3 linked regions of the Cricetulus griseus genome follow. The protein of the gene in region 1 purifies or fractionates together with the protein of each later gene. This does not show direct contact. Links are inferred from orthologs where the notes say so. Each region holds a gene or a part of one and is shown in the gene's direction. Other genes may lie near its edges. The genes, in order: Rnf7, Asb7 and Asb1.

Region 1 (3,750 bases):
ATTGAAGAAGATCTAAGTCAAAAATAATTTTTGTGTTGTGTCTGAAGTAAACTTCTGCCAGGAATGAATGTTTCAAGGTTACTTTGTCATGTGAATTATGGTCTTTGTGATTTTTGCATTTAAAAACACTATAACCCTCCCTGAGCTTTGAGACCAAGTGACTCTAAGGCATGAGGTTAATCTTAATTGTAAGAGGGCCCCCAAGACCTTAGCACAACTGACTCCATGATGGAAGTACCATTCAGGCTACATAATGAGTCCTAGGCCAACTTGGTTTAAAAGATGAAACTGCCTCAAAGCAAGCAAATAAACGGATTTGGATTTCAGCTATCTTTTCCATAAACAAAAGCCTTTGCAGATCCCAATACCCACGGCTGGTGGTGCACACTTTTAATCTGAGCAGCAGAGGCAGATGGACCTCTGTGAATACAAAGCCAGCCTGGTTTAAACTGTGAGTTCCAGACCAGGTGGAGCTACATAGTGAGACCCTGTCTCAAAACAACAAACAAAAGCCCGGGGTGGTGGCCCACACCTTTAGTCCCAGGTTTGGGAGGCAGAGGCTGTCGGAACTCTCTGAGTTCTAGGCCAGCCTGGTCTACACAGCTAGTTCCAGGATGGCCAGGACTACACAGAGAGGCCCTGTGTGGGAAAACCAAAACAAGGCAACAATAAACAAAACCATGACGAAAAAGTTAAGGTCCTAATAAATTTGAAGTGTAAAGAAATCCAACAAATAAAGAAATAAAGAAATAAAGAAATCCAAGATGCGGGGCATAGGGGTACACACCCTTAATCCCAACACTCCGGAGGCAGAGACAAATGAGTCTGTGAGTTCAAGTCCAACCTAGTCTTCAGAGAGTTCCAGGCCAGCCAGGGTTACATAGTGAGAAAAACCTTATTAAAAATAAATAAATAAAAAAGCAGAAGGAAGATAAAGAGAAGAAAATGGAAGGAAGGAAAGAAAAAGAAAGAAATAGAAATCCAAGACTCCCATGCCCAAATTGAGACCCACTGAACCGGATTCCTGGATCTCTAAAGTCGTGACTTGTACCAAGTCACACACACCTCCTGTGGCCAGGCTTTTTGTAAGATATGGAGGTTACGGTGATGGAAGAGCCTTTTCTCCCTACTCTGATAGTTCACATTTCGGAGAGAGGAGTCTAATGAAGGCAGAAACAAGGTGATTTCCGAGAGCTCCGGGTTTGGTAAAGAAGGACGCAGGGCAAGGCTCTCTCACTGTCCTCTGCCAGCTCTGCAGTAAACGCCCGAGGCCACCACGGACGATCAGCAGGCCCCGCCCCTCCCGCGTGACGTCAGCGGGCCGCGCCAGGCCATCAGCGCCGCCTTCCTCTGGCTGCGCGGCGGGACCTGCGGGAGGCGCTGTGGCGTGCATTTGGGCCCTAGTGAGCCGCCATACCTCCCGCCTCAGCGCCCAACGTCCGCGTCGCCGTTCTGCGCCGCCGCCATGGCCGACGTGGAGGAGGGCGAGGAAACCTGCGTCTTGTCCTCACACAGCGGGACTGCGGGCTCCAAGTCGGGGGGCGACAAGATGTTCTCCCTCAAGAAGTGGAACGCGGTAGCCATGTGGAGCTGGGACGTTGAGTGCGATACCTGCGCCATTTGCAGGGTCCAGGTGATGGGTAAGCAAAGCGCTGCACGCGAGGCCGGGGCCGTGACGCGGCCTGCTGGGCGAGCTTCGCGGGCGACGGGGGGGGGGGGGGGCGAGCTGCCCGCGCTGGGTGAGTCCTGCGGGGAGGGGCGGGGGGCGTGGCCGAGGAGACAGCTGGACCGTCTCTCGGAACCCGTGGGAACCTCCGGGGTTGTGTTGGTAGCCCAGCGGCCCGCAGACCTCACAGCCGAGCCCTCTCGTGGATCTAAGCGTTCATTTAATTAATTAACTAATTAATTGATTAGTTAATGATTTTGGGGGGGAGAGACGCTCATGTTTCCCAGGCTGGCTTGGAACTTGCCCATTTAGCCGAGGTTGGCCCTGAACTCCTGGTGCCCCTGCCCGCACCTTCCAAATTCTGGAGATGACGAGCCTGCGCCACCGTGCGGATCTTGTTTCATGGCTCTGTCGCCACCGAAATGATGCGCAGCCATTTGTATGGGTTCTCTGCAGCTATTTGGCTGGCTTTTAAAATTTACATTGACCGAGTCAGATAGAGCTCGCATGTCTTGAGGCGAGGGACAAAAGAGTATTTTAGATTTATGGGAATCCAAGGATAGAAAAGCCTTTGCTTGATTCAGAAACATGAAACTTAATTATGTCCCCTTCCCACCCTTTTGTGCCCTTTCGAAGAACCTTCTTTCATTAGTAGTCCATTTTTTTGTTTGCCTGTTTTTTCGAGACAGGGATCCTCTGTATTATTTTGGAGGCTGTCCTGGAACTTGCTCTGTAGACCAGGCTGACCTTGAACTCACAGAGATCCTCCTGCCTCTGCCTCCCAAGGTGTGCACCACCAACGCCTGGCCTCATTAGTAGTCCAACATTTTAGTATTTTGAACGAAAATGTTGGACCAAATGAAACGTATCAAAAAATCGTAATCTCGTTGAGTTTTACATAGTTTAAGAGCTCAGCCCACCTTGAAAAGAACCCTGTTTCTGTCAGTTTCTCTTGGGGGGGGGGGGGCCTGGTGGTTGTTGACAGGGTTTCTCTGTGCTGACCAGGCTGGTCTCAAACTCAGATAACCGCCTGCCTCTGCGTTTCTAGTGCTGGGATCAAAGGCGTGTGCCACCATCGCAGCTCTTATTTATTTCTCTTTTAGACTCATTCAGTCTTGTATAGTCCAGGGTGGCCTTGGACTCCAGATCTTCCTGCTTCCTCCCAAGCGATGAAATTTGTAGAAATGTCTGTGGCATGATGGGGATTGAATTCCTTCAGGCTAGGCAAACTACCAACTGAGCTGCATCCCAGCTTAACATAGGTTTCCAAAGTGTCGGTTAACACCTGTAATGCTCTGGAGGCCGAAGCAGGAGAGTTTGAGACCAGCTTCCAGCAAAAACAAAAAAACAAAAAACCAGGGGCTGGAGAGATGTTTCCGAAGAGTGAAGATTGTCCATACAGATTTCCCACACCCACATGGCAGTTCACAACCCTCTGTAACTTCAGTTCCAGTTTATCCAACACTATTCTGGCTTCAGAGGGCACTAGACACATACGGTGCATAAATGTATGCAAGTAACATAAATTATGTGAGAGTTTATTAAATTGCTGTGGGCTGCAGAGATGGCTCAGTGGTTAAGAGCATTGACTGCTCTTCCAATTCCAGGGAATTGGACTTGAGTTTAATTCCCAGCACCCACATGGTGGCTCACAACCATTTGTAATGCCAGTCTTAGAGACCTGAGGCCCTTCTCTGTGGGCATTGCATAAACATGGTACACAGACACACAGGCAGGCACAACATGCATACACATAAACTATTAACTGGGAGTTGGTGGTGCGGGCCTTTAGTCCCACCACTCGGGAGGTGAGGCAGGATCTCTGCCTTCGACAATTCTAGCATTAGAGTTCAGAGACCACCAGAGCTGGAGCCAGGCACAGGTGTGTCATGTGCTTGAGCCAGTGTGAGAAGAGGGAGGGAGTAGTTTCAATCCACACTAGATGTTTATTTTTATTATTATTTTTTTTAACCTTTTGAATGCCTCTAGCCCTGGTACTAGCAACACATTGTAACAAAGCTAGTTGTGAACTCACAGGGGTCCTCCTGCCTCGGCCTCTTTCTTTCTGGATCTGGAGAAATGGC
Region 2 (3,650 bases), on another chromosome or scaffold:
AATGTTTCCTTGTTTTTAAATGCATTGTGTTTCTGTGTGCTTAGATTAGATTATGCTACCATTTGTTTAAAATGGTCTCACTTGTGGGGGAAAGTGTCTGTTAAGGGGGAGCAAGAAGCTTGTCGGGGTTGTTATTTTATTTGTTTATTTATTTTTGCTTTTTGAGATAGGGTTTCTCTGTATAGCCCTGGCTGTCCTGGAACTCTGTCTATAGACCAGGCTGGCGTTGAACTCAGATCCCCTGCCCCTGCCTCTGCCTCTGGGGCATTGGGATTAAAAGTGTGTGCCACCACTGCCAGGCAGCATTGTTGTTCTAGAGCACTTAGGGAGTCTCACGGATAAAGAGAAGTTGTGCAGATAATTCAGCCAAGTGGATTCCGCACGTTTCTCACTGACCTTGTCGTTAATCTGTAGACTTCACCAGCATTGCAAGTGAGCTCTTATCATGTTGCATTGACTGATCCTGACCCTGTAGCATTTGCTCATGTGCTCTGTTATTTCATTCATTCTGTCACTTTTTCTTAGAGACAATAGCTATAGTTTTACACATTTTTACCCTGTAGTTTTCAGTTCTGTGTGCTGCTTGCAGGATGCAGTCAGTTAATTGGTTTGAATGGTTTGGGCTGAGATGAATCAGGTCACTGCTCTCTGTGCTAATCTGTGTTTTCTTAGTTCAGTATAGCAGTAGAATGTAAGCAGAATCTTAAATAGACCCAAGGTGAAAACCAAACATGCAGGAGCAACTTTGTGTAACAGCATTTTAGCCTGACTTGTCAAATAGAATGGCTATAGGGTGTAAGGATTCTAGCACCTTCAAAGGTATCCCTGGTGAATGAAAGGTGGGAGGGGTAAAAGATGGGGTTCCTGACTTTCACTGACAGATCAAGGGGCATTATCTGTAAACAGTTGGCTGCCCTCGTTTAATCTATTCTACTTATTTATTCATTTACTTTTAAATCTTTATTTTTACATGGGGGTGCGGGGGAGGGAGAATGGGTTTATGTGCATGCCTGCAGAGGCCTGAAGAGAGTGTTGGATCCGCTGAAGCTGAAGAAGCACGTGTTTATGAGCTGCCTGATACGGTTGCTGGGAATTGAACTCAGGTTCTTGGAGAGAGCAGCAAGAACTCTTAACACTTCATCTATTTTAGGTATCAGCAGGATCTGTAAGGCAGTTTGGTCTGAGCTCAAAGTGAAAGGGGACTAGTGCATGTTCAGCCTCTTCCAGTAGGTGGCAGAAGAGTGCTTTGCATCACGCCTGTCTTTGGGTTGCATAGTCCTAGGTACTGAATATTCTTTTAGTTAAGGCCATTGCTGATACCTTTTTCTTTTCTTTTTGTTTTTGTAGACAGATCAAAGTGATACTGTGGTTGTTAGCTGTAACTTTACATCAGATGTTATGAGGAGCTAAAATAATAGTTTACTTTGTATAGGTTTTATTTGCTAACAACTCTTTAACTGCAATTTTTACCCGCTACATTATTATTAATATTTCAACATATCATTTTCTGCCTCACAGCCTCTTGTAGAGAACCCAGCTGTTATAGTCTGGAATGAAATAAGATCTTATTAAATAGCACATAAGTATTTCATCACATAGCTTTGGGGGCATTTTGTGTCTGTGAAAAACATTCATGTTTTTTTTTTTCTTTTGTAAACAAACCCAAAACTGAGTTGCACAAGAAGCATTTTAATGCTAGTAGTTAGGTGGGGCTGGTTTCTCTTCCTCGTTTGCTTTACTCGCCTCCAGGAAGCAGTGTCCATACTGTGGGGGAGGTGACTCTGTTCTACCTACTGCTCAGGGATGGTAAGCTACAAAGTGCTGATCTTTGAAAAGGCCAGAGTGGGTGGCAAAAGTCTGTAGCTTGAACAGTCGCTTAGCAGATAATTCTTGTGAATTTTTCTTCCCATGGATCTATTGATTTAGGAGAGAGTTTTAAAACTGGTTTTTAAAAACAAAGTAGTACTGAGGTTTCTTCCATTTTTTTCCCCCCACATAAGCGCTTGCTAATTCTTATAAACTCGCAGGATCTATAACTGAACTCCAAGTCCTATCTTAATCATGCAAACATGCTTCATCATGGTCCTGTCAGTCAGCCTGTGTCTCCCCGGATTGTCTGGTGGAGTGCAGAGACTGCCTCTGGTCTTCGCCTTTGCCGCTCTCCCCACCCTCTTAAACTCTAAAACAAGTCTGGCCAACCACAGGACACTGTAATTCAGAGCAGCCATCTTGCTCACATGCTTCTCTTTAAGCCAAGAAGCAGCAGCACAAGAGAAAAAAAAAAAGAAAGAAAAAAAACAGCAAATAGCTGACAACAAAAGAGAAACCATGGGATAAGGCTTCGATGAGCCCTCTCAACAGACACACTTAACTTAGCAGGAGTGGGGAGGTGCTGTGAGCCTGCATTCGGGGTCTATCCTTAAACAGTGTTGCTCTTGTCCCCCTCCTCCCACTGACTCGGGCTTTGATAAATTCCTACTGAAATGTATTTTCCACTAAGATACAACTTCTGCTAAACCTGGGGAAGTCTTCAGTGTCATTCATAGTATTTACCCCTTCACAGTCTGTGATAACTGGCTGAGCCATACTCCGCCTGCCCTGATAAGAGTTGTTTTGTCTCAGCAGCTACTGATGTTTTCATTTTGGTTTAACCCTAGCTGATCCTACGGTTAAGGACTTAATTGGAGGCTTCACCGCTCTACATTACGCAGCCATGCACGGCCGGGCCCGGATTGCACGCCTGATGTTAGAGTCTGAATACAGGAGTGACATTATTAATGCAAAAAGCAATGATGGCTGGACTCCTCTCCACGTGGCTGCTCACTATGGTAGGGACTCATTTGTCCGGCTCCTCCTGGAGTTTAAGGCCGAGGTCGACCCACTCAGTGATAAAGGTACAACGCCACTTCAGCTCGCCATCATCCGAGAGAGATCAAGCTGTGTGAAAATCCTCCTGGACCACAACGCCAACATCGACATTCAGAACGGATTCCTGTTGCGCTATGCTGTGATTAAAAGCAATCATTCTTACTGCCGCATGTTCCTTCAGAGAGGGGCAGACACAAACTTGGGGCGCCTAGAAGACGGACAGACTCCTTTGCACTTGTCTGCCCTTCGTGATGATGTGCTCTGTGCACGGATGTTGTATAACTATGGAGCAGACACGAACACAAGGAACTATGAAGGTCAGACCCCTCTGGCCGTTTCAATAAGTATTTCAGGAAGTAGTCGGCCGTGTTTGGATTTCTTACAAGAAGTCACAAGTATGTAACATAATTACTACTCTTATTGAATCTTTCCCTCTTAATTCACACTTTCTGAGTTGCTTGAGATATTTTTGTAATACGAGATGACTAGACATTAATCATTCCTATAAGTCGCACTTGGTAAGTAATACTCACTCATCCAAAACCCAATTGTGTTACTAAAAGTGGACAGTAAAGTTTAGAGGAAATGACAGACATTTTTTTAGGATGAACAAGTTTTGATGGTAGAACAAGGCAATTCCCACTGGTCCAAACAATAGCCTGTCTGTCTAATACTGTGTAGGATTCAGATTGAGGAATCAGAAGGAGAGTTTGGGGTTTTAGATTCCTTAGCTATAGAGATAGTCCAGATTCCACACTTTATTACCAAATTCCAATGATAGG
Region 3 (3,650 bases), on another chromosome or scaffold:
ATGAGAGTTGGGAATCTGAGCTTAAGGGCTCATGTTTTCGTGACAAGTACTGCCAATTGAGATATCTCACTAGCCTCTTGAAGTGTGATTTTAATACAAAATGTATGCCTTTGAGATTTATTTCCTGTTATTTCATTTCCATTGCTACAATAAAAATACCTGAAAAAATACTATAAAGAAAAGAGATTTATTTAGTTCAGCCTTAGAGGCTGAATATCATGGTGCAGGTTCTCATGTAAGCCTTACCTATGGTACCTTAAAACAGACAGCAGTGGGGGAGCTGTGATCTCCTGATATCCAGGAAGCCAGAGACTAGGAGGGCTGGTCTCATGCTCTTATAATAACCGTCTGATAAGAACTAGCCAGGATTCCAGGAGAAATTCTTTAGTCCTGCAGGAAGACACTTTGCCCTGACACTGTGGCCCAGTGTGATGCCATACTGGTTAAAGGGCTTTGCTGTCTCCCAACACTACCATACTGGGACCATACTTCTAACACATGGACTCTGTGGATACAGTAGTACTCTGCTGAATTGTTTCTTATCGAGACACCCTGCTGCTATTTCTCGGAGCAGCATGGTAGGGAGCTCACCTACCTTCCAGGTAGCAACTGTTGTTTGGCCCTAGGCTTTGGCTAACCAGCTGTCTTTGTAGTAAAGGAGATGGCTGCCATTCTCCTTTCAGATACCCCAATTCAGAGACGCTCTTACATACTTGCAATAAATTAGAGTAATTACATGCTAGATTTTTTTTGGCATAATATTTTAAATTGTAATTTGGTAGTACTTTATTTAGGTTCTTCTATGTTATAAAGTACTATTGACTTATTGTTCCATTGTTCCCCAGTCCATCACATTTTCTTTTCTTAGAAAAAAAATTCTTATCAGCTTTGGTGTCAGGAATGTGCTAATTTGATAAAGGGAACTTTACAGCTTTCTCTTATGAATTATTTTCTGGGAATTTGAAAGTTCCTGTGTGGCTGGGCAGCAAGGAGCCACTTCAGAAGTCATCCTATTTGATTGGCCTTGCTAACAATTTCCCACACTGATAGGAGCCCCTCTCTTCAGTGCAGGTCCTAATCTGAAGGAGTGGCTGAGGGAGCAGTTCTGTGACCATCCACTAGAGCACTGTGAAGATACACGGCTCCATGATGCAGCCTACGTAGGGGACCTCCAAACCCTAAGGAACCTATTGCAAGAGGAGAGCTACCGAAGGTGAGCATCCCTGCTGGGGCTGGTAACAGGTATTGGCCTATGGGTCTTCAGGAGGCTGGACTTTGTGGTTTGGATGGCAGATTAAGACTGATGCTACAGGAATGCATTTTTGGTTTTAGAGGAGGGACAAAAGGAAGAATTATTGGTGGCCAGATATTGTGGGCAGAGGTTCCTGGATCCAAGTCTGGCCCTGTGATTGGCCTTCATGTTTTCTGGCAACTTGTCCTATCTGGGCATTGGCATTAGTTTCCTCAGTGTTTTTCTTGAAGGCAATGTTAGAGATATCAGTAGTGACCTTATCCCTCCAAGTCTCCCATGGCTCTTTAAAAAACAAAAAAGATATTTTATTTATTTATTTGAAGCAGGGTCTTACTCTGTAGCCTTGGCTGGATCAGAACTCGTTATGTAGACCAGATTGACCTCATATTCACAGAGATCTGCCTGCCTCTGTCCTGAGTGCTAGGATTAAAGGTGTGCACTACTATTCCTGACTATTTTACTTATTTTCATTGTGTGTATGTGGGGGTGAGTGGGTGGGTATGTGCATGTAAATACAGGTGGCCACAGAGGCCTGAAGAGGTCATCCATTGGAACTGGGTTACAGGTGATTGTAACCCATCTGATGTGGGTGCTGGGAATTGAACTCAGGTCCCCTGGAAGAGTGGCTCATGCCCTTAGCCTTTGAGCCATCTCTCCAGCCTATCTCTTACGGCTCTTTATCTTGGGTAGTTCTTTTCCTACTACCACTTTGTTGACATTCCTCTGATGTTCTCTTCTTCACTTCTCAGGTCTGTAGTGATCAGCCATAGGCCAGCTGACTTCCCAGTATAGGGATGTGGGGCTGCCATCTTCTTTGTTTTCTTTTCCTGGCCTCATGATTTCCCTGAGTTCTTTGTGTGAATGAAGTCCCAATTAGATACTGAATACATGAAACTGGCACTTTATACTTAAATGTGTTTCTACTTTGCCTTGAGGAATGGATGCAGTTAATTGATGGAAGTCCCTGTGGGAGACCTACACTACTGCCTTTGTGTAGACAATTCACAAGCAAAGGATTCCTAACCAGCCAGGAGTATGTTTCTTTCATATCCTTCTAATGTCTTAGCACTGTTTCATAGAGCACATGTCAGTAGTTAAAAATCAAAACACAGACTAGACAGATGATTTAGCAGTTAAGAGCTCTTGTTGCTCTCACAGAGGACCCAGATTTAATTCCAGCACTCACGTGAGACAATCTCTTCTGACTGCTACAGGCACCAAGCATGCATGTGTACAAAAATATCCGTGCAGGCAAAACATTCATACATGAAGTTAAGTGAATAAATCTAATAAAACAAAACACAAAATTTAAATTTATTTAATGTGACTTAAGCCCCTGAAAGACTTAAGCACACAGATATAGCAGTAGAATGAAAGGGTTCAGTGAAGTTCCTATTGTGCTACCCTCCCTCTCCCTGCCTCTCTTCTCTCTTCCTTCTCTCTTTCCTTTTTCTCCCTTTTCCCCACCTCTTCCTCCCCATTTGGCCATCATATAGCTTTGTAGCCTAAGCTGGCCTTCAACTCCTGACCCTTTGTCTCTGCTTCCACCTTCTGAGATCTAGATTATTGACCCATGCCACCACACTCTCTCCTTTTTTCTTAAACTCAGGGTTCATGGAGTGGCCTCTTCCTTTGACATATTTTCTTTTGCTGTACATTTCTCTGTTGGTGAATTCTGGAGGGTTTCAGGGCTTTATTGGCTCATATCAGCCCATGTATGACTGGAGGAGGAACACCAGGAATTGGTTTAGTGAGACACTGCTTCAGTGTGGATGGTGAGGTGAAGCACACCTTGGTTGCTGACTTGGAGGATCAGTGAACAGTGTAGATAGTTATCTGGTGGTCATACTGACTGGGAGCTGCATCTGGACAGTTTGTTGCTACTGCTGGTCAACAATGCAGTCCCTGTAATTTTAATGATCTCCTAGGTTCTCAGTTGCTCTGGGTCAGGGTAGGAGGATGTTACTAATACTGATAGTCTCTATATGGAGAAGATTCCAGCCTTGAACCTTTATAGGTGGTCACTAAAAAGAGGGCGTGCATGGCCCTGCCTTTCTTACCCTGTGTCCCCAATGGATCTATATATGTTTGGTAGAGGAACAGGCTTTGGAATGTGGGTTAGGAATCCAAGAACTAGAAATCTCAGTTTTAGTGCTAACTATTCTGTTGAAGCCTCTAGCTTCCTTGCCGTGGGCCCCAATGCCTATTTTCTCTGCTCGATTTCAGTAGGGGCAATTGTGGAAGCCTTTCAGGACATAGAACTCAAAGGGCTGGAAATGTAGCTCAGGGGTAGAGTTCTTGCATAGCATGTACAGGATCCTGGGTTTGATCTTCAGCACCATGAGAAGGAAAACAGAACACAACGGAAGGTATTCTAAATCTGAGGGTTTGCTACCAA

The links.
Region 2: the proteins of Rnf7 (region 1) and Asb7 purify together in Homo sapiens (co-immunoprecipitation; 4 studies listed by BioGRID and IntAct, with this or other methods). This does not show direct contact. The link is inferred for Cricetulus griseus from reciprocal best matches to the Homo sapiens genes RNF7 and ASB7.
Region 3: the proteins of Rnf7 (region 1) and Asb1 purify together in Homo sapiens (co-immunoprecipitation; 3 studies listed by BioGRID and IntAct, with this or other methods). This does not show direct contact. The link is inferred for Cricetulus griseus from reciprocal best matches to the Homo sapiens genes RNF7 and ASB1.

The regions. Positions count from the first base shown.
Region 1 is NC_048597.1:205,071,107-205,074,856, reverse strand, and holds the start of Rnf7 (RING-box protein 2), read left to right. Parts: upstream 1-1,371; 5' UTR 1,372-1,465; coding exon 1,466-1,640; intron 1,641-3,750. UniProt on the Homo sapiens protein: Catalytic component of multiple cullin-5-RING E3 ubiquitin-protein ligase complexes (ECS complexes), which mediate the ubiquitination and subsequent proteasomal degradation of target proteins.
Region 2 is NC_048596.1:130,567,204-130,570,853, forward strand, and holds part of Asb7 (ankyrin repeat and SOCS box protein 7), read left to right. Parts: intron 1-2,657; coding exon 2,658-3,263; intron 3,264-3,650. UniProt on the Homo sapiens protein: Probable substrate-recognition component of a SCF-like ECS (Elongin-Cullin-SOCS-box protein) E3 ubiquitin-protein ligase complex which mediates the ubiquitination and subsequent proteasomal degradation of target proteins.
Region 3 is NC_048595.1:443,061,243-443,064,892, forward strand, and holds part of Asb1 (ankyrin repeat and SOCS box protein 1), read left to right. Parts: intron 1-1,066; coding exon 1,067-1,213; intron 1,214-2,187; exon of another isoform or gene 2,188-2,193; coding exon of another isoform or gene 2,194-2,285; intron 2,286-3,650. UniProt on the Homo sapiens protein: Probable substrate-recognition component of a SCF-like ECS (Elongin-Cullin-SOCS-box protein) E3 ligase complex which mediates the ubiquitination and subsequent proteasomal degradation of target proteins.